Linked DNA regions of Stegostoma tigrinum. The protein of the gene in region 1 binds, or shares a complex with, the protein of each later gene. Links are inferred from orthologs where the notes say so. Each region holds a gene or a part of one and is shown in the gene's direction. Other genes may lie near its edges.

Region 1 (9,482 bases):
AATGGAATATCAAAGTGTGTCAAAGATCCAATGACTATTTTCTTCAAAATCATTAGAGACATGGTGTTTGAGTCTTCTCCCATATTGATGATTCCCAATGTTGACTATCCAGTCAAGAGCAAGGTGGTGAGTTTATGAGCCAAAAGACAATTTTGAAAGGGAGGAATTAAATTACTTTTTGCTGGCATATTAGCAGCTGAATTAAAGCGATCTTGCAGCAGTACCTCTGGATTTGAAAGGTCCAGGTTCAAGTCCTGTCTGCCACGGAGATGTATCATAACATATCTGAACAAACTCATGTTGAAAGAAAATAAAACAGCTAAGTCGACCAGGAGCAACTAGAATCCTGGGAATAGTTCTATTCACTGACAGAACACGTCGGAAATGCTAATTTTTTGGGAGCTAGCTGTAAATCACAAGTAAAACCGATTTACCGGATGTTGTGTCAATGGGGACTTTTAAACACCTATCAAACTGGAAGAAGAAGACTTGGAGAACATTCAGGCTTGGGCTAAGAGGCAATTAACTTTCATGTCACACAAGCAATGACCAGCTCCAACAACAGAATTGAACCATTACCTCACTACATTCAATGACATTCTGGTCACCGAATTCCTCCTCATTATTAACATCTTGAGGTTACCATTAACCAGAATCTGAACTGGGCCAGCCATATAAGTACTCTGGTGACAGCTGCAGGTCAAAGACTCGGAATTCTACAAGGTTAACTCACTTCCTGTCAACTCAATGCTTATCTGTCATCTATGAAGCACAAGTCAGGAGTAGAGTGGAAATAGCTTCATTTACCTGAACAAGTGCAGTGCCATCAAAACTTAAGAAGCTGACATCAGCAGGACAAAACAGTCAGCTTGATTGGCATCCTAACCACTATTTTCAATATTCGCTTCCTTTGCCACTAACACAATAGCAGCAGTGCATAAGATCTACAAGAGAATTTGTGGCAACTTACCAATGATTCCCTGACAACACCTTCCAAATTCACACCACTATTATCCAGAAGGACAAGGGCAGCAGATGCATGGAAACATCACCACCTGCAAGTTCACCTCCAAGCATATCATTTGGACTCAGAAATATTTTGCCATTGCTTCACAGTTACTGGTTCCAAATCTTTGAAATCCCTTTCCTAATGTCACTGCAGGGGTACCTAAACTTCAAGGAGTAGAGTGGTTCAGGAAAGCAGCTCACCCCTACCTTCTTAAGGGCAACTAGTGCTAGGCAAGAAACGCTGGCCCAACGAGTGACTTCCACATCCCACAAGTGAACATTAAAAAAGACAACGGAAGGAGATTGTGGGTTTGTTTCTTGCAAGTGGCAATGGAGAATAATGTACTTGTGGGTCATCTAAGGTTTACAATGTGGAAGTATAATAGATGGGCTTTGGGAGCAAAGGGACATGAGAAATAAAATGGACTTGGATCACTGTAAAATGCACAGTACGGAAGGACATTTGGGGTCCACTAGCGCCCCATGCGTGGAAAAGTACTGAGCACAGTTTGCAGGTAGTATTAAATTTAGGAAGCCAGATGTGGGATAACAAATAGGTCCTGGATTTTTGTAGCGTTTTGGAAGGTGAGTTTTCAAAAAAGTACTACAGCAGAGGACGTAAAGCTTTGGTATTCGCCAAATTGATGGCAAGGGGTTGTTGAGTGTGACGTGCATGGACGAAGAGATGATACTGAATGGTTAAGGTTGAGACTTAGTGAACGGACGAGTGTGGTCAGAAGTCCAAAGAAACTGTGGCTTTTGTGTGTGTTTGCAGCTGGACAGTTTTCAGTGAGGATCAAAAGCAGTGTCATGGTTGAAAGAAATGGGAGCCATACAAGACAGCTGTATTCAGATTTAACCAGGGAGAGATCTTATTACAACATGACAAATTAAAAAAAGGAATTTGCTTAGGTTAACTTTATCTGAGCATCAGAACACAAAAGTCATTGAACCAAAACTTGACTGATTTTCACTCCACAGTGAAGTTTCCATCATTTCATAGTTAAAGCATTCGGTAAAATGGCACCAGAATTTAAATTAACTTAACTTGCAACTACAGGTGTGGAAAAGTTTATCATCTTGCTTAAACAGTTTCTCAATGCATTGCCATTATACCAGTTAATATTGCTACTGGATAAATCAGATCCCAGGTTGAAACCTGATTTGAAAGATCATACATTTTTCTTTAAATTAACATGGTCACCTTTCATTGAAACACAAGCAGGAAACACTGCAGAATTTATTTTAACAATAAAACAGAAGTTCATTATGCAACAGAAATGAAGCTAAAATAAAATAGAAAAAAACTAAGCTCTGTACTGTATGATTCTAAGCTATTTACACATAACACAATTTTAAAAGATTGAAACAGTAAAAATACAAGCCCATTTATCCAGACACCTAAGGTTTCTTTCTCTCTCTCTCACATCTAAAGGTTTAAATTAACTGTTTTTTTCCCCCCAATTCCTGGTTTTGTGAATTGTATTACCTCTCCCTTGATTAATAACACATCTGAGCCTAGTTTTCAGCTTCAAATAAACCCTTCATGCTTCTAATTAAATATTTTAAATATGGAATTTCAAACTAAAACCCTGACACTGAGATAATCTACTTCCTAACTCTTCTGAATTATCTCCTTACTCCAGGAAAGACTGTTCACACATCTAACTTCAACTAGGACTTCTGTCAACTAAAACCAAAAGGTTTACAATTCATAGATTTTCTCCAAGCTAGGGGGAAAAAAGAATCTTGATTCTTCTGAGTCAAAGCCAAAGCCTTTCAACGTTTACTGTGTCCAATCCTAAAATTCTCACAATAGAAACAAATGCTCATTAGCACTCCAAGAGGCTGCTCTCTGTCATAACTGGTCGAAAAAAAATCATGGCTCCAGAAGTAAAACAGAACTGCAGTTGCTGGAAATCTGAAACAAACAGAAATTTCTGGAGAAACACAGCTTGTCTGGTATTATCTGTAGACAGACAGCGAAATTAACATTTTGAGTCCGCAGACCTTCTTCGAAACTGATAGAAGCTAGGAAAACATGGTAAATACACTGAAGACTCCATGTGAAGAGAAAATGACTTCAGAAAACTGACAAGATAATTATTAAACCCCTTATAACAGACCAAGATCTGCGCACAACTAGTCCAAAATCCAAACACTAATATAGACAATATTAATTTGCATAAATCATAAATCCTAGGTCAGACCACACTCCAATCAATTGTTCAGAATGTTTATAAAATCATTAATTCATTTAAAATGAATGTCTCTCTTCCTCCTCAAGAAAGATGTCTGCTGCATTTGGCAAAAGAAAAACTGGTATCACATCCCTAGCTATAGAAAGATATTCCATTGGTTTGTGAAGAATTAGAATATCCAACATCAATGATTGTGCTCCTGAGATGCTGCTTGGCCTGCTGTGTTCATCCAGCCTCACATTTTATTATCTTGGAATTCTCCAGCATCTGCAGTTCCCATTATCAATGATTGACACTCGCTAGATTGTGAAGGATACTTCTGCTCAGATTTACACTCCAATGAACGTGCACGTTACAAAAACAAAGCCATTGATTATATATTGTCTGCTCCCTTCTTTTCAACCACAACGACTATTACATAAAATTTAAATAAAACTATACAATTGCAACTTAACAAAGCTGATCTGAACTAAAATAATTTGTCCACAAAGACAGTAGACATTAATTAAAATCATCCATACCGTTGTACAAGCTATTTCTAGTTTATTGTCAAATATCAAATTTGGCTTATACATCTTAGTCTTCAATTAATATTTATTAAAATACTTAATGGTAGACTACATTGTCTAATATTTCAAAAGTACTTTGTCAGTCATAATAGAACACTATCTCCAACCTTCATGTGATGAAAGATATAGGTATTTCCCCTTAATGTCTTGACTCCACATATCTGCGGCGGGGAAACAGCCCGATGTCCCACGAGCTCCCAAATTACAATATTCTATCGATAACCAACATACATGCATACACAAATCTACGAATAAGATCCATAAAATAATTGGAATAAACAGTGAGGATTTCAGAAGTGTCTGAGACACCACCTGTAATTGCCAAGGCAGCGGTATGGAAAAGACTATTCCCGCACAGTTGCCATCTCGTTCAGAAACTGTGGTTTTACTTCCAAGCTCAGTCCAAGACAGTCCCAAAGTGCTCTAAGGCTCAACATCAGGGTGCACTGTCACCGGAAATCCCAGAGAGACAGCGATTCCCAAAGTATGGGCAGCACGGGGTGGGGGAAACGACCGTATTCCTCAGTAATGGATTCCACGCAACGATATCAGTTGATCAAAATCCAATGGATAAAACCGGCCCGAAAGGCGGAGAGCGAGAGTTTGTAACACATGCGCAAGCAGGTTGCTCCTTTACCAAGATGGCGAAAGACAGAGAGCGAAAGAGAGAGAGACTTTCCCCCTCCACACAGCCCGGAAAAAACCCTCCAAGTCACTTGGTTCATCATTCCATGAATAAACAGATCAATGAGCGTCGGGTTCCAGCCAAATCCTCCCCGTACGTTCTGCACGATCTGGTTCTTTTCTCCCCGGATAGCCCGGGCATTTTTGGTAGCGGGGACCCGTGAGGCTGTACTCGGTCAATGGGAGTGAGGGTAGAGAAGGGGGCGCTTCCGCTGTTCGCCTTCGGGGTAAGTAACCTGGAGACTCGGCCGTTCAACGGCCGCAACTCGCGCTCTACTGGCCACGCCCCCTTCCCCTGGGAGCCGTACCACCCCCCGCCCTCCTCCACCACTGTTCAGGAGCGACAGGAGAGAGAAAAAAAAATCATCGCAGCGGACACGTGACTGCGCAAATAGTGCCAGCACGTCCTTCTCACGCCGCTGCGAGATCGCCAGCACCAATGTTGTAATACTGATTTAATTCACTTCGTATTCGAACCTACACCCCCCTCCCCCAACATGCCACTACATACTCTCAACCCTGACACAACAGCCGGTCCCGAAATCCAACGGCTGGCCTGGAAAAGGGTACAAGTCAATCCCAGGGCAGTGCTTGGAAGGGCGACTGAGGAGATTTAATTGGTGAGCGGGGAGAAGAGTGAAAGCGGGGACTATATCCAAAGGGCGGAGTGTTACACGCTCTCTCTCCTCCTCCTCTCCCCCCTCCCCCTTCTCTCTCTCTCTCTCTCGGTCTCTCTCTCTCTCTCTCATTCCCACTCGGGGCCATTGCGCTTTTTTTCCCTGGGAAGCCATCATGGAAGTTTGAGAGTCCGGCGGTGGCCCCAGCAGCAGCCTTGGTGGGGGAGGGGGGGGGAAGAAGCTGGAGTCGGTGCTGTGGCCGGGACGGGAGCTGGAGCCGTGGCCAGGGCCGGGGCCAGAGCGATCGGCCGAGAAAGAAAAAGGAAGGAAAGAAAGAGGAAAAAAAGAAAGAAGAGCAAGTGTGCGTGTGCTGGAGGGGAAGCTCGGCTTCCTGCTGACTTTTTTTCTGAAAAATAATGCTTATAATTTTTTAACACGGAGTGGATCAGGATCCCGGAGTGTGTGGATTATTATTTCTGACGGAGCGCAAGGAGAGCAGCCACGGATGTATTTTTTAAAACGCGTAATTTATTGACAGCGGAGGGGTAAAGGAATCGACTTCTTTGGATTTTTTAAAAAAAGATCCCTTTCTTTTAAGCGAAGGCATTGAGATTTTTTCCTCCCTCCATTTCCCTGCCTATCAGCCCCCCCCTTTCCCCCCACCCCCCGACCGACGGTAACGGCGGCGGCGGCGGTGGAGGCGATCGTGGAGGAAAAATCGTAGCAAGAGGCGGTGAATGTGGCCACCGTCTTCCCCCGTTGCCCCACCAATTCCTCTTCCCGCTAAAGGGTTTTACTTTTTACCCCCTCTCTCCCACCCCCACCCCCCGTTTTCCTCCTCCTTTGATGGTCATCTGAAGAAACCGGAGCAAATCCACCACCCCCCAACCTCCCTTACTCCTGCGGAGGATATTAACGGAGCCGGGGGGGAAAGGCGAGAGGCAGATTGGGAGAGAGAGAGAGTGCGTGTGTATGTTGTGGAGCTGGGTGTTAGGCCCCTGTGTGACAGCAATCCAGAAGGTGCCAACAAACCCATTTCCACATCCTCCACCTCCACCACCTCCTCTTCCTTCAACCAGGCATGGCTTCGAGAATCAAAGAACTTGTCAGCAGGAACAAGAGAAGATACCAGGAAGACGGATTCGACTTGGACTTGACATGTATCCATTTTTCTTTTCATAAGGAGGGGTTTGGGTGGGAGGTTGGGGTTTGTTGAGGAAGGTGGTTTCAAATATTGCGTCTTTATTCTTGCCTTACTGAATCAAGGTTTGAATGGAGACGTGCAAAAAAAAATCGATGCACTCCCTTTACTTCGTATTAGATAAGGGAGGGGAGACCCTGCCGTCACTCTTGCAGAAACTGAGGGAAATTACACAATTTTAACAAATTGGTCCTATTCAGTGCTGGAGTACAGTTAAATTGAGTAACTTGCAAGTGACTGTATTAAAATATTGGGTGAGTTCCTTTTTGTTTGTTTTTCTTTAAAATATGAGTAATTAGGTGTACAGGCCTTGCATTATAAGTTGAATGTGTAATGTCATTATATACATTGCTTTGTGGTACTGAAATACCTATTGTGCAGATCTAGAGCTGCCATGCGTAGCCTCTGCAGGGGGGCATACGTACTGCACAGAGTGCGTTAGGTCTTGGCCTAGATTAGAATGGATGAAGTTAATTTTGTCTTTGGCTAAAATGTTTAATATCTGTTGAACAATTTTAAAGTGTACGTTTTACGTTCAGTAGTTTTGCACGAGCTTGCGATAATAAAAATAATCATTTTGCATGGATGAGTATCGTTAATTCACGTTGCTGCTATTGTAAATCACTAGTGTTCAGGAGTTTAATTTTTACTTTGTGCACAGTGAAGCAGATGTCCCTGACTTGAGCAGTAGACTCTGTAGGTGCAGTTGAGAGCTCGTAGCATTTTGCCTTTGATACATATATCGTCACTGACAATGATTTTAGGAGTCATTTGAAGTTGTCTTTGCTTGACTTGAATGGATCTAGTGTCTCGTAATTTTGCTGATCTTGCTATAATACCGCTGGCCTTCTAGTTTAGCAGTTTTAATAGAAGGAAGGAATACAGTAACATGCAATAGGAATACTGTAACAAGCAGTTTATGGTGGTGATGTCATGGTGCATCAGTTTAAATTACAAGACGCAATGATCTTGTGCACTGCTACGACTTGAAATAGCGTCTAAATTTTCACTAGATTAGAATAAACTGCAGTTTTGTATTTTGTGAAATGGTTTGATATTTAAAGGGAAAAAAGTACTGAAACTTCTGTTTGAGGAATGTGACTTGCAACTCAGTAGACTTGAATGCCCATTATGCGCATTAGGCTAAATTGGATTGTACTGTCTTTGGATGAGGCAGGAATTATTCATTCACGATCCAGAATCCAATTTGTGTGTTGATATAACTTGAATTTTTTTTCCACTGGTTGGTACGTTTGTGTTGACGTTTTGGTTAATCAATTTTGCCTATTTTCACAGTTTCCTTTGCTCAGGTGTAAAGCTTTGCAGTATATATATGCTAGATATTTGCATAACTTTGGTTGAATATCTTGAGGCAGAGCCACTAGGGTAATACTATTTTGTAAATAATAGCAACATAGCGTTCAGGAATGATATTCATTAGTACTTGACTGTTAATGCTTTAGGTTAATTATGACAGAGCTTGAAAGAAACCTATGTGTCTCAGATCTACTGGATGGGAGAATATTTTAAAAATGCATGATGTTAGTCACTCAGTGCTGCTTGAATACAGTATGGCTGCTTTATATGTGATGAACTTTACAAGTTGTTTGAGTTTCATGCAGTATATTTATGATTCAGCTTTATTACATGCTGGTTTATAAATATAAGTTGAAAACCTAACATTTGGGAAGTATTTTGAAACTTGACTCAGAAAAACGAAACAAAACAAAGACATTAATGTATGCTTAATTCAGATTTGAGTATAGAGGATAGGTGGCTTAATTAAAAGAAAATTCTGCATATTTGTTCAGTGCTTTGTGACGCATCTTACCTGCCCCAGCCAGTTCTCTTGCAAAGCGCACACATTTTATACATTTTATTGTTGACCCTTAATTTGAGATTCGGTGAAATTTTAAAGCTCATATTTCAAATATTACAGGTTTTTTGGTTTTGAATCAAATGTAATTTTGGTTTTGTGCCTTCATGTTTGGAATGAGTGGGGATGTAGAATCGGGACAAAAATGAAATAAAAGCTGGTAACCTTGAATGAGTAATATTGAAAGGAAACAGCAGTGCAGTAGTTACTGTTAAATCACATTTGCAATATTTACTTTGTATTGCATACATTAATAAGTTGAAATCCATATTATACCCATTTTGGGAGACATTAATGTGCTTAAAATTTTTGCTGTGAGAGCTTAGATTACATGGTGCAATGGGTTTCACTTAAATCATGCAATTCAGCCATTGTTGGTTGTCATCTGTCGAGGACATTCTAACACTGGTCAGATGAGAAATAAGACTTGCTGTGCGCTAGTGGTAAAAGTGATATGGGATATTTTATTTTGTTAAAGGCCATATGTAAGTGCAAGGTGTAGAATATATTATTCAGTTCTGATTAATCAGTTTTGAGACATTCTGGCTCTGTAGCTATCAGTCTTGCTTCTGAGGCAGATTGTTTATAGATTGAAGTTCTACTGTAGGGTCGGTATACAAAATCGTAAGTTGACATTTCACTGTACTCAAAGTGAGAACTGCATTGTTGGAGGTCTTATCCTTTGAATGAAACACTAAATACTATGTGCATAATTCTGATGCCCAAACCCCTCTCCTTTACACCAAGTTTACTGACTAATAATCTTGGAACAGTGCCGATACTAAGAAAGTTAATTGTTCATTTATCCATCGCTGTTACTGAGATCTTGTTATATAGCTAAACGGCAATCATTTTCCACAAAAGTCACTGCATTTTGTTACATTGTAGGAAGTGATTAATTGTATATGAAGCAGATTGAGATGCTGTATTACCACTTTTTGGATGTGTCACAGCATCTATGGTAATTCAGCATTTGAACGTCTGTTTCTATAGTGTAATGTGTAATTTTCAGAGAGTCCATGATTACAAGCAATTTTATTGGCATTTACATAAGGCAATGCAAAATTGAGACATTGGCAATGAAAAATGTCAAGACGTTGAGAGAAAGCCAGAAGTAGGAGATAAAGTTATGAGTCTATAAATGTAACTCAACTCGAGCATGTGTTATCGTTTCGGAAGAAAGTTTGTATATATGTGAACTTAACATTTGGTATGCTTTGTAGCTTGTGCATGTTACAGCAATTGACAAATTATCTGAAGTTCTACGGTATGATTTCTTTGCTTAATCAGCTTGTTTTTCAAAAAAAGATTGTTTCCTTAAGATTC
Region 2 (10,262 bases), on another chromosome or scaffold:
TAAAACTATGATTTGGCTTTGGATTAGTCACCTTAACTTACATTGAGAATACAGTTTGCACTCCCTCATGCCTGGTTCAGGACCAGGCACTGCTTTGTGATTTATTCCTGATATACAGCTGTCTCCATAGCAAGGAACTGCCAGTAGGAATGTTGCAACAGAAATAGTTAGAAATGTGATCTGCATGGCCATTTGTTTTCAACCTGCAAAAGAAAGCAAAACAGATGTGGAATTGTGATCTGCAGTTCCCATTATCTCTGGAATTGTAATGTATTCTTTTTAGGTTGCTGGATACTAAATCTGGAGTCCTTTGTTTCTTTATTATGAGGTTACCCTCATCAGAAAAGCCATAGTTTCCTGAGATCTCTACAGTACATTTTTAACCAACATAAGTTTTCAATTTTGGTCCAAGATGATGAATAGAAAACCTCTTTGTAATCACGTTCAGATGCTTGATCTATTCTGTGCTTCCATGGGACCTTCCTCCCGTCAAAGCTATCATCTTGATCCAGACTTTTAACAAATGTATGCATTTATTGTGTAATAGCTAGAGAAGTGAATCAATAATAGTCAAACATACATGATTATAGTGGTTATTAAACTAACCCATTTTGTGCATTTGCTATGACTGCAAAATACTTTATTGAATGTATAAATGTTCTTATCACATCCCTTGTCTGAGGTCAGTTTCTAACATATTCTAACACCTTGGTGATTTAAATATATAAGGTATTTGTCAGCTTTTTGGAGAACAGTCATCACTTCTTTCATTTTTAATCCAGAAAGAAATGCTCAGAAAAATTCAGTACTGAATGCACTGAAACAGGAAAATCCACAAATATGCCACAAATACAGAGTAAAAATAAACAACATACAGAAGGAAAAACAAACAGCAAACTAAGGGAGAAATGCAAACACATTGAAAGCAGGAAAAACATGTAGAGAGGTATTACAGAAAAGGGAAAAAAAGAGAAAGGCTCAACAGAATGGAAGAAAAACAAATTATTGGAGACAACATGCAGAATGTTAGAGTGGAATAAAAATGTAAAGCGATAGACAGGGTGCAGAAGATAGATATTGTGAAAAGAAAGCGAGAACAAAGCTGCAACAAAATGTCAGCCAGAAACACAGCATGCAAAGACTGAGGTTGTGTGACAAAATCAGAAACAAAGAAAGTACAATGTGATAACTGACAGAGGATCACAGAGCCCGGACGACTAAAGTTACAATCAACAAATATACCAGTTATCCAGGGATTATTTCTATACATTTTAATAAGGTTGGGATTTCAAGATAAGGAAGAAGATCATCAAATCTTTTTGATGTTAAATTACATGTTTGGGGAATTATAACAGAAGTAATTTACCTAGCAAAAGAATTTTTTCTCTCCATTTTTGGTCATTTTGCTTTTTTTCCACATCCTTCTATGAGTGAGAAGGTAGGCAAAAATTCTAATTCCTACTCGTGAGACCAGAAGAAATTGGAACACCACATTCAGCTCACTGAGCGTGCTCTGCTATTATGATAAAGCCATGGCTGACCTGATTGCATCCTTAATTACATTTCCTGCTTGCCCCCAGTGATCCCAGACTCCCATGTCAATCAAAAATTTGTCTAACTCAGCCTTGAATGTAGTCAATTACCTAGCCTCCACTGCTTTGTGAAAGAGAATTCTAAATACAACTGACCCTGACATAGAAAATTTCTATTTTCCATCTTAAGTACAAATGCCATTGTTTTTAAATTGTGCTCCCAGTCTGAGATTCCCCCACAAGAATAAACATCGTCTCAGCACCACTCTGTCAACCTCCTTCTGGATCTTATATGTTTCAATAAGATCCCTCTCATTCTTACAAATTACAATAAATGTTCTACATTTGTTTGTCACTTGTATAAATAATTTAGATGAGAATTTAGGAGGAATGGTTTGTAAGTTTGTGTCTGACACCAAAATCGGTGGTTTAGTGGACAGTGAAGAGGTCATCTAGGATTACAAAGAGATCTTAATCAATTGGGTCAATGACTGCCAGATGGAGTTTAATTTGGATAACTGTGAGGTACTGCATTTTGGTCATACAAACCACGGCAGGACTTATACAATTAGTAGTAGGGCCTCGGAGAGGGTTGTAGAACAGAGAGACTTAAGGATTCAGTAATATAATTCTTTGAAGCCTATGAATGGCAGGTCTTTTCCCTAGGGTGGGGAATGTTAAGACTGGGGGAATATTTTTAAAGTGACAGGAGAAAGATTTTAAAAAAGTCAACTTTTTTTTACACAGAGTGGTTAATGTCTGAAATGAACTTTCAAAGAAAGTGGTGGATACAGGTATAGTTAAACATTTAAAAGACATTTAGATAAGTACACAAACAAGAAATGTTTGAAGGGATATGGGCCAAGGGCAGGTAGGTGGGACTAGGTGAGTTTGGGATAATGGTTGGCATGGACTGGTTGGACTGAAGAGTTTGTTTCCATGCTGTACAACTCTATGACTCCATGGACCTAAACCTACTCAGCCTTTCATTGTAAGACAAACCTTATCAGGATTCAGTCGAGTGAACCTGTCTCTGAAATACTTTCAAGTAACAAGAAGAAAAATTGCATATACTAGGTGAGGTCTTACTACTGCCCTGTATAGTTGTAGTAAGACTTGCTTAATTTTATAAAACATCCCCCTTGTAATAAAAGCCAACATTTTGCTTGCCCTCCTAACTACTTGCTATATCTGCCTGCTAACATTTTGTGAATTATGTACATGGGCACCTAAATCTCTCCACACCAGATCATTCTGCACTCAAGTATCGTACTTTTCTATTCTGTCAAAATGGACAAGCTTGTATTTTTCCCACATTATACACCAGCTGTCATATATCACATATCAATTCATATCTCTTTGCTCTTTGTGTCATCTATAAATTTGACTACACAACAGTCAGTTTATGCAAACCATTAATATAGATCATAAATAATTGAAGTTTATCTTGCAATACTCCACTTGTGGCAGCTTGCTAATACAAATGAACTATATATCCTGACTTTCATTAAGCAACCAAGTCTGACAAAGGTCTTTCGCCTTTTATAAAAGAAGTGCTGTAGGAATTAGGAATCTGTCGTGTTTGAATTACATTATCCTGCTATTCTTTGGAAAAAGCTACAAACAATACAGCAAAACCATTTGATGTTATAAACAATGCCTAGCTCCTTTTAAAGCTCCAATTATACAAAAACTAATGGACAAGAATGAAAACAATTATATATTATACATGTTAATAAACACAGTATCTCATTTTTAGAATATCAGACTGTAAATTTTAAATTACATCCATACCAAGCATAAACTGCAGTCACTTTTATTTACATCTCAGATTTCACAAATTTGAGTTACTGTCAATTCAAGAAAAAATAGGATCACTTTCTGGAGCATTTAATGATAATTCAGCAACTCCTTTAGAACTGCAATAAACTGCAATTTTATGACTGTACCTGAGATCAGAACTAATGCATTTCTATAACTTTCATTTGCAGCATTGATAGGCTATGATTATTATGGCAAACAACTTGAACAGAATATTAGAAATTCTTGCAATTTATTTTCAATAAATGTTATCAATTTTCTGTCCTCAGTTTCACATGTCTCTCTGTTTTCAACTTAAATGTCAATATCATTTTAATTATTATGAATATTTTACTGAGAATACAGAGTACACAATTCTAAAAGTAAAGATGGACAAGAGCAAAAAAATTCCACTGAATTGTGTAATAAAAGCGCCATCTACAAATCACCTAACTTTCAATCATTTTTGTATATTTTTTTCTAACTGCCTTGCTTAAATTTCAGATTACTCTTTCTTTCTAGTTACTCAGAATTAATATGCTATAGCTACATTATAACATTTATGACAAACCATTACAGATCAATTACCTGTTGTAGTGACAATAGAATTCAAAGACTCCTACTTTTCTCGTATCAGTCATTTTTATATTCTATCTGAAAAATGATCTGTGTCTGTCATTGGTTCAGTTGTGAGAATGGTGACCTTTACCCTTAACAAACTTACTAAAATCTAGTTTATCTGAAATGTTAATATAATCAGTACAAATGTTGACAAAGACTTGGAGATAAGCAATTCAGTGTATTTTCTAAATCAGCTAAACAGTTTGTCGGTAGCTGAGCTTTGGAAATGTTGCCATTTCTACTGCTGAGCAAATAACTTCCGCACGTTAAGATCAGCTCCCACCATTTCTTTCTAGACAGCTTGTAATTCCTTTTGATCTTTTCATCTTAAAACATGTGAGAATACAAGAAAATTACAGCATAATGACATCAAGTTAGTTTGATATGAACAATGCTTCGGTAACACTCCCACTTTTAAGTTAGAAAATTGTGGATTCTTTCATATTCTTGGCCATGCTCTGCTGCTGAAGAATAATTACAAAGTTTGCTGAGGTTAAGGAAAACATTAACTGTACTTAAGAAACTTGTCACTGTGGCTTCACCGTACCAGAAGGCTGTAAGAGTGCATGATTGTGTGATGTTGCATCACTTTCTGTAAGCATGTACATTGTCTCATTAGCATACTATCATCAGAATTAAGCCCTAATGCTACAACTCCCCAACTTTCTGATTTTACCTTTTGTAATCGATCTTGTCACAGCCTCTGATTTTAAACTCTTTTTTTTTACAGGGACAACCACTTTAATGGCAGGTTCACCTGTTGATCTGATCGATTCAAGTCCTCTGTCTGGTGTGTCAGACTCTGCTGGCCAGGAAGAGAGTTGACAGATGGCTCCAATTTAACAATCAAGCCGCCTTTTCTCAAATGTATGTAAACATAGAGATAACAAGGTGTAGAGCTGGATGAACACGGCAGGCCAAGCAGCATCTTAGGAGCAGGAAAGCTGACATTTCAGGCCTAGACCCTTCTTCAGAAATGGGGGAGGGGAAGGGGGCGCTGAAACAAATAGGAAGACATGGAGAGGCGAATAGAAGATGGATAGAGGAGAAGTTAGGTGGAGAGGAGTCAGACCGGTCAAAGAGGTGGGGATGGAGCCAGTAAAGGTAAGTGTCGGTGGGGAGGTAGCACCTCATATTCCGCTTGGGAACCCTGCAGCCCAATGGTATCAATGTGGACTTCACAAGCTTCAAAATCTCTCCTCCCCCCCATCGCATCCCAAAACCAGCTCAGCTCGTCCCTGCTTCCCTAACCTGTCCTTCCTTCCACCTCAAGCCCCACCCCCATCTCCTACCTACTAACCTCATCCCACCCCCTTGACCTGTCTGTCCTCTGTGGACTGACCTATCTCCTTCCTACCTCCCCACCTACACTCACCTTTATTGGCTCCATCCCCACCTCTTTGACCTGTGTGTCTCCTCTCCACCTATCTTCTCCTCTATCCTTCTTCTATCTGCCTCCCCCTCCCTATTTATTTCAAAACCCTCTTCCCCTCCCCCATTTCTGAAGAAGGGTCTTGGCCCGAAACATCAGCTTTCCTGCTTCTCTGATGCTGCTTGTCCTGCTGTGTTCATCCAGCTGTACAACTTGTTACCAAAGAAAGATGCAGTAGTTTTTGTCAAGGTCTGCCCTGAACAGCTCCATGATGCCGGACTCTGTGGTCTATAGGCTGGTCCCGGGGATGTACACTGAGAGAAACATTGACCACGCCTGGAGGATCATCAACTCACTGACTTTCTTTCGTCTGCCTGAAACTTGTTGGTCTTCTCGAGTCAAGAGTTGACATTGACTGAGTGTTGCAGATTGGTACATTTCAAGGTCCAGGGCTACATGCTGACGGATACACTAAAGCTTTGGGCAGATACCACCAAGATGCACTGGGGAAAGATTACCATTTAAGGTCTTCCTGCCGAAGTATAACGGTCGTCCGATTAGTTGTCAGACCCTCTCATTGCCTCAGAATGAACGTAAGTAGTATCCTGCACAAAAAGAAAATGTGTTTACAACTGTAAGGTAGCGCTGATAAATGTCAAAATTCCACTTTTATTTGTTTTTTTTCTCTGCAAAGACAGAACTGGTTTAGAATCTTTGTATGTACTTTTAGATGACTTTTTATGAATAAAGTATGTTTTTAAAATAAAAGAAGTCTGGTCATGTTGATGAAGGCAACATTTGACTGTTGATGACTTCTTTGTGTAGAAGACTGCTTGTGTGTCGAAATGAGCGCACATCTGTTCTCATGAACCATTCCATTTTCAGTTTCAGTGAGGTAGGACAGTGGATGTGGTGTCTGTTTCACCACTTGTTAACAAGTTTGGTCTCAAATCCAAACTGGCTGTCCTGTTTAGAGGTCTGGTTGGTTCAGTGCTTTGTGATATCTATTGTTGTTCCACATCTGACTAGAGAAGTATTCATCTTCTTTCTCCATCACATTTTTCAAGCACAATCTTGTTTATGCAGCGTGAGTATATGTGAAAGAGTATGGAGTGAGTTCTCAGTCCTCTTCCCATGAGGAATTCATATGGAACTAAATCATTTTAGGACTAAGTGAAAGAAAGATTGCTCAGAAGTGAAACTTGAATGTTATTGTTTTTCTTAAGCCATACTTTAGCTATCACATTTGTAAAGGCCTCCCACTTGCCGGAGGTCCCTTTGTCTGCAAACTAACCACTCCAATCAAGCCCTGAAAGCTGCTGTCTAATTCCGTCAAAATTTGCCTTGTCCCAATTTCAGACTTGAACTGTGGACCAGTTTTGTCCCTCTCCAAAACTATTTTAAAATTAATAGAACTATGGTCACTGGTTCCAAAGTGCTCCCTTACTGTCACCTTAAGTTACTTGTCCTGCCCTATTTCCCAAGAGTAGTTCGACTTTTTCCCCTTTCTGAGTAGGACCCTCTATATACTGCTTGAGGAAACTTTCCTGAACACACTTAACAAATTCCACCCCATCTGAGCCCATAACGCTATGGCAGTCCAATCTATGTAAGGAAAATCAAAATTCCCCACTATGACAACCCTGTTGCTCCTGTAAATCTCCCCAGTCTCCCTACTTATTTGTTCGTCTAATTCCCATTGACTATTTGGAGGCCTCCAGTATAGCCCCAATAATGTCACAATTCCCTTCTTATTTATTAGGTCCACCAACAAAGGCTCTCTGGATGATCCCTCAGTTATTTTATCTCTGACTGCTGCTGTGACACTGTCCTTAAGCAAAAATGCAATTCCCCCTCCCTTCTTTCCTCTACTTCTGTCCTGCCTAAAGCACCTGCACCCTAGCACATTAAGTTGCCAGTCCTGTCCCTCCCTTAGCCATGTTTCTGAAATGGCTGTAATATCCTAACCCCACACACATATTCATGCCCTGAGTTAATCAGCCTTACGTGTCAGCCCTCTTGCATTGAAATAGGTGCAATTTAACCCAACAGGCATTCCTTGCTCCCTGTTCTGTCCTAGTCTGACCTGTCTCTTTAACTTGCCATTTCTGATGACTGAACCTCCTTCCAGCCTCAAACTTGCATCCCTGCTGTTGAGAATTTCAACACCAGAGGGGGAGTGGGCCGAGAAATAGCAATTGGAGTTCAATGGTGTGTGGGCAGCAATAAGCAGTTTGCTGAGATATATCCATACAAAGGAACAATTAGCAATTAACTGAAGCAGCAGCAGTTATTTCTGTTGAACAAGAAGGTCATGCCACATGATCTCTAGAATGCAGATCATTAGCATCACCCAATACAGCCTGCAGTTACTTCGGGTTCAGAGATCATCTGTATGGCTTCAGATAGTCAGGCATGCATTAATCATAAGGGAAGGGTTGGGTACTATGAGCAGATGGTGGGGACACATAACTCGTGAAGAATATGCAGAAGTGGAAGTCCTGTTGAAATGACAGGACTCAGCACCTTGCAAGAAAATATATCCTGTTTTTGCAGTAAAGGATTAACATAGTTTATTTTATACAATGTTGCATGTAACCATTGTGAGGCAAAAATATGTTGTTTTGAGTTGTAAATGGCAAGGTGTCTTGCAGCTTGACTCTAAGGCCTCTTCCACACAGTATTGGTACAAGCTTGAATAAAGACCACCTTGGTACGACTACACAGACTGAAGACTCGATTTGTCCTATCTCTCCAACATTGATCGACTTAAAACTTCAGGTTGAACCACAATTTGCTGAATGAAATTGACAATTAGCTGTGAGACTTCACATTCACTGTTGATTATTACTTCTGCTTCCTGGAGGTGTTGTAGCGCAACTTATTGCCTCATGCCAGGTTCTGTCTGTATGGATCTGTGGATCAGCACACCGTCCATGTGCTATCCAGTCCTTCAAGGATCTTGACACTGTCCTCTGAGATTTTTGGTCCTAATGTAATGCTGTTTTTTAATCTTTTGAAACAAAATTTTGCAAAGTAATGAGGAATGTGAGCAACTTAGATTCTTCATCTTGGGGCACATTTTTTGCATGTGTTTCATGAACGTTGGATTCTTCCCCAATTCTTTTCAAGGTCATGTCTGCAGACTACTTAGAATGAAATTGGTGTTCAACTGTTTTACTCAGCTGTGTAAGAGCTACACAGATTCTGATAGATCCATTGGGTTTTAGTATTAGAATCATCTCCAAGCACAAGCTTGATGTTTCCATCATGGGTGGAATAAACCACTGAACCAATTTCCTTCTTTAACTTTGCAAGAGTGGATGAGGAATTTTTCTACAAGTAAACAGAAAGACTGGCTTCATTTCAGGATGTAGCATGATGTGGCTTCCTGTCATCAACCATCATAGTCTTATGAACAGCTGTGGAAATACAGCTCGGAAGTTTCAACTCAAATTCTCAGCTTTTCAGTTTGTCAAATCTGCAAATTAGACAAAAGCTGATAAAAGCATTCCTTAAGAGTGAGCAGCTCAGCAACGATGTTGTGGGTATCACAGACATGTGGCTGCATGGGGATCAATGCTGTGAACTAAAAGACCAAGGATACGTGACCTATTGAAAGGACAGGCAAATGGGTAGAAGAGGCAGGCTTGTCTTGTTAGTAAGAAGTGAAATTAACTTGATAGCTAGAAATGATGTTGTGTCAGAATGTGTAGCATCTATGTGGGTAAAACTGAGGAACCAGAAAGGGGGAAAAAAAGCCTGAATGAAGTTTGTGTACAGGCCTCCTCACAGTAGTCAGGATGTGAGGAAGAAACTGAATCAGGAGATAGAAAATACATGGAAGAAAGGCACTATTACAATAATCATAGGGGATTTCAATATTCAGGTGGTCTGGGAAAATCAGGTTGGTACCAGATCTCGCGGAAAGGAATTTATAGAATGTCTATGAGATGGTGTATCTTTGGAGTAGCTTGTGGTACAGTCCAGTAGAGAACAAGCAATTCTGGATTTCGTGATGTGTAATAAGGCAGTTTTGTTAGAGGGAGCTTAAGGTAAAGGAACCCCTAGGAGGCAGTGACCAAAATGTTATAGAATTCACCCTGCAGTTTGAGAGGGAGAAGCTTGAATCAGATGTAATTATTTTACAATTGAGTTAAAATAACTAGAAAGGCGTGAGCGAGGAGCTGGCCAGACTTGTTTGGAAGGGCAGCCTAGCAGGGAAGACTGGAGTAGCAATGGCAAGAGTTTTTGGAGGTAATTTGGGAAGAAGAAGTTTAGTGGGGAAAGATGAGGCAACCATGGCTGACAAGGGATTTCAGGGACAGCATAAAAGTGAAAGAAAAATCATAGATGTGGTGGAGATTAGTAAGAAGCCCAAGGAGTAGGAAGAGTTTAAAAACCAACAGAGAATAACTAAATCAGCAATAAGGGGGGATAAGATGAAATATGAGAGTACCCGAACTAAATAATATAAAGACTTCAAGAGTTTTTTAGATATCTAAAAGGTAAAAGAGAGGCAATAGTAGACATTGGACCGTTGGAAATGAGTCTGTAATAGTAGTAATAGAGAACAAAGAAATGGTGGAATAACTGAATAGGTTCTCTGCATCAGTTTTCACAGTGGAAGACACCAGCAACATACTAGTACTTCAAGAGAGTTGGAGGTCAGAGGTGAGTGCAGTGCCCATTACTCAGGAGAAGGTGCTGAGGAAGCTGAAAGATCTGAAGATCACCCAGACCAGATGGACTACACCCCGGTGTACTGAAGAAGATAGCTGAGGAGACTGTAGAGGCATTGGTCATGATCTTTCAGAAATCACTGGAGTTAGGGACGGTCCCAGAGGACTGGAAAATGGCTAATGTAACACCTCTGTTTAAGGAGGAAAGTAGGCAGAAGACAGGAAATGAAACACCAGAAAGCCTGACCTTAGTCA

Evidence for each region. Proteins that work in one complex are often made in the same cells at the same time.
Region 2: the proteins of ptenb (region 1) and mast2 are in contact, whole or in part, in an NMR structure (PDB 2KYL), measured with the Homo sapiens proteins. The link is inferred for Stegostoma tigrinum from reciprocal best matches to the Homo sapiens genes PTEN and MAST2. Residues at the interface, in NP_000305.3 of Homo sapiens: Pro391, Phe392, Asp393, Glu394, Asp395, Gln396, His397, Thr398, Gln399, Ile400, Thr401, Lys402, Val403; in NP_055927.2 of Homo sapiens: Lys1112, Lys1113, Tyr1114, Gly1115, Phe1116, Thr1117, Leu1118, Arg1119, Ala1120, Ile1121, Arg1122, Val1123, Tyr1124, Met1136, Trp1138, Glu1141, His1170, Val1174, Ile1177, Leu1178, Leu1191.

Annotation. Positions count from the first base shown.
Region 1 is NC_081373.1:46,075,640-46,085,121, reverse strand, and holds the start of ptenb (phosphatidylinositol 3,4,5-trisphosphate 3-phosphatase and dual-specificity protein phosphatase PTEN), read left to right. Parts: upstream 1-4,908; 5' UTR 4,909-6,160; coding exon 6,161-6,239; intron 6,240-9,482. Other genes in the region: atad1b (outer mitochondrial transmembrane helix translocase), read right to left, coding at 3,886-4,015. UniProt on the Homo sapiens protein: Dual-specificity protein phosphatase, dephosphorylating tyrosine-, serine- and threonine-phosphorylated proteins.
Region 2 is NC_081361.1:67,541,122-67,551,383, reverse strand, and holds the start of mast2 (microtubule-associated serine/threonine-protein kinase 2), read left to right. Parts: upstream 1-5,471; 5' UTR 5,472-5,918; intron 5,919-10,262. Other genes in the region: riboflavin-binding protein, read right to left, coding at 42-192. UniProt on the Homo sapiens protein: Appears to link the dystrophin/utrophin network with microtubule filaments via the syntrophins. Phosphorylation of DMD or UTRN may modulate their affinities for associated proteins. Functions in a multi-protein complex in spermatid maturation.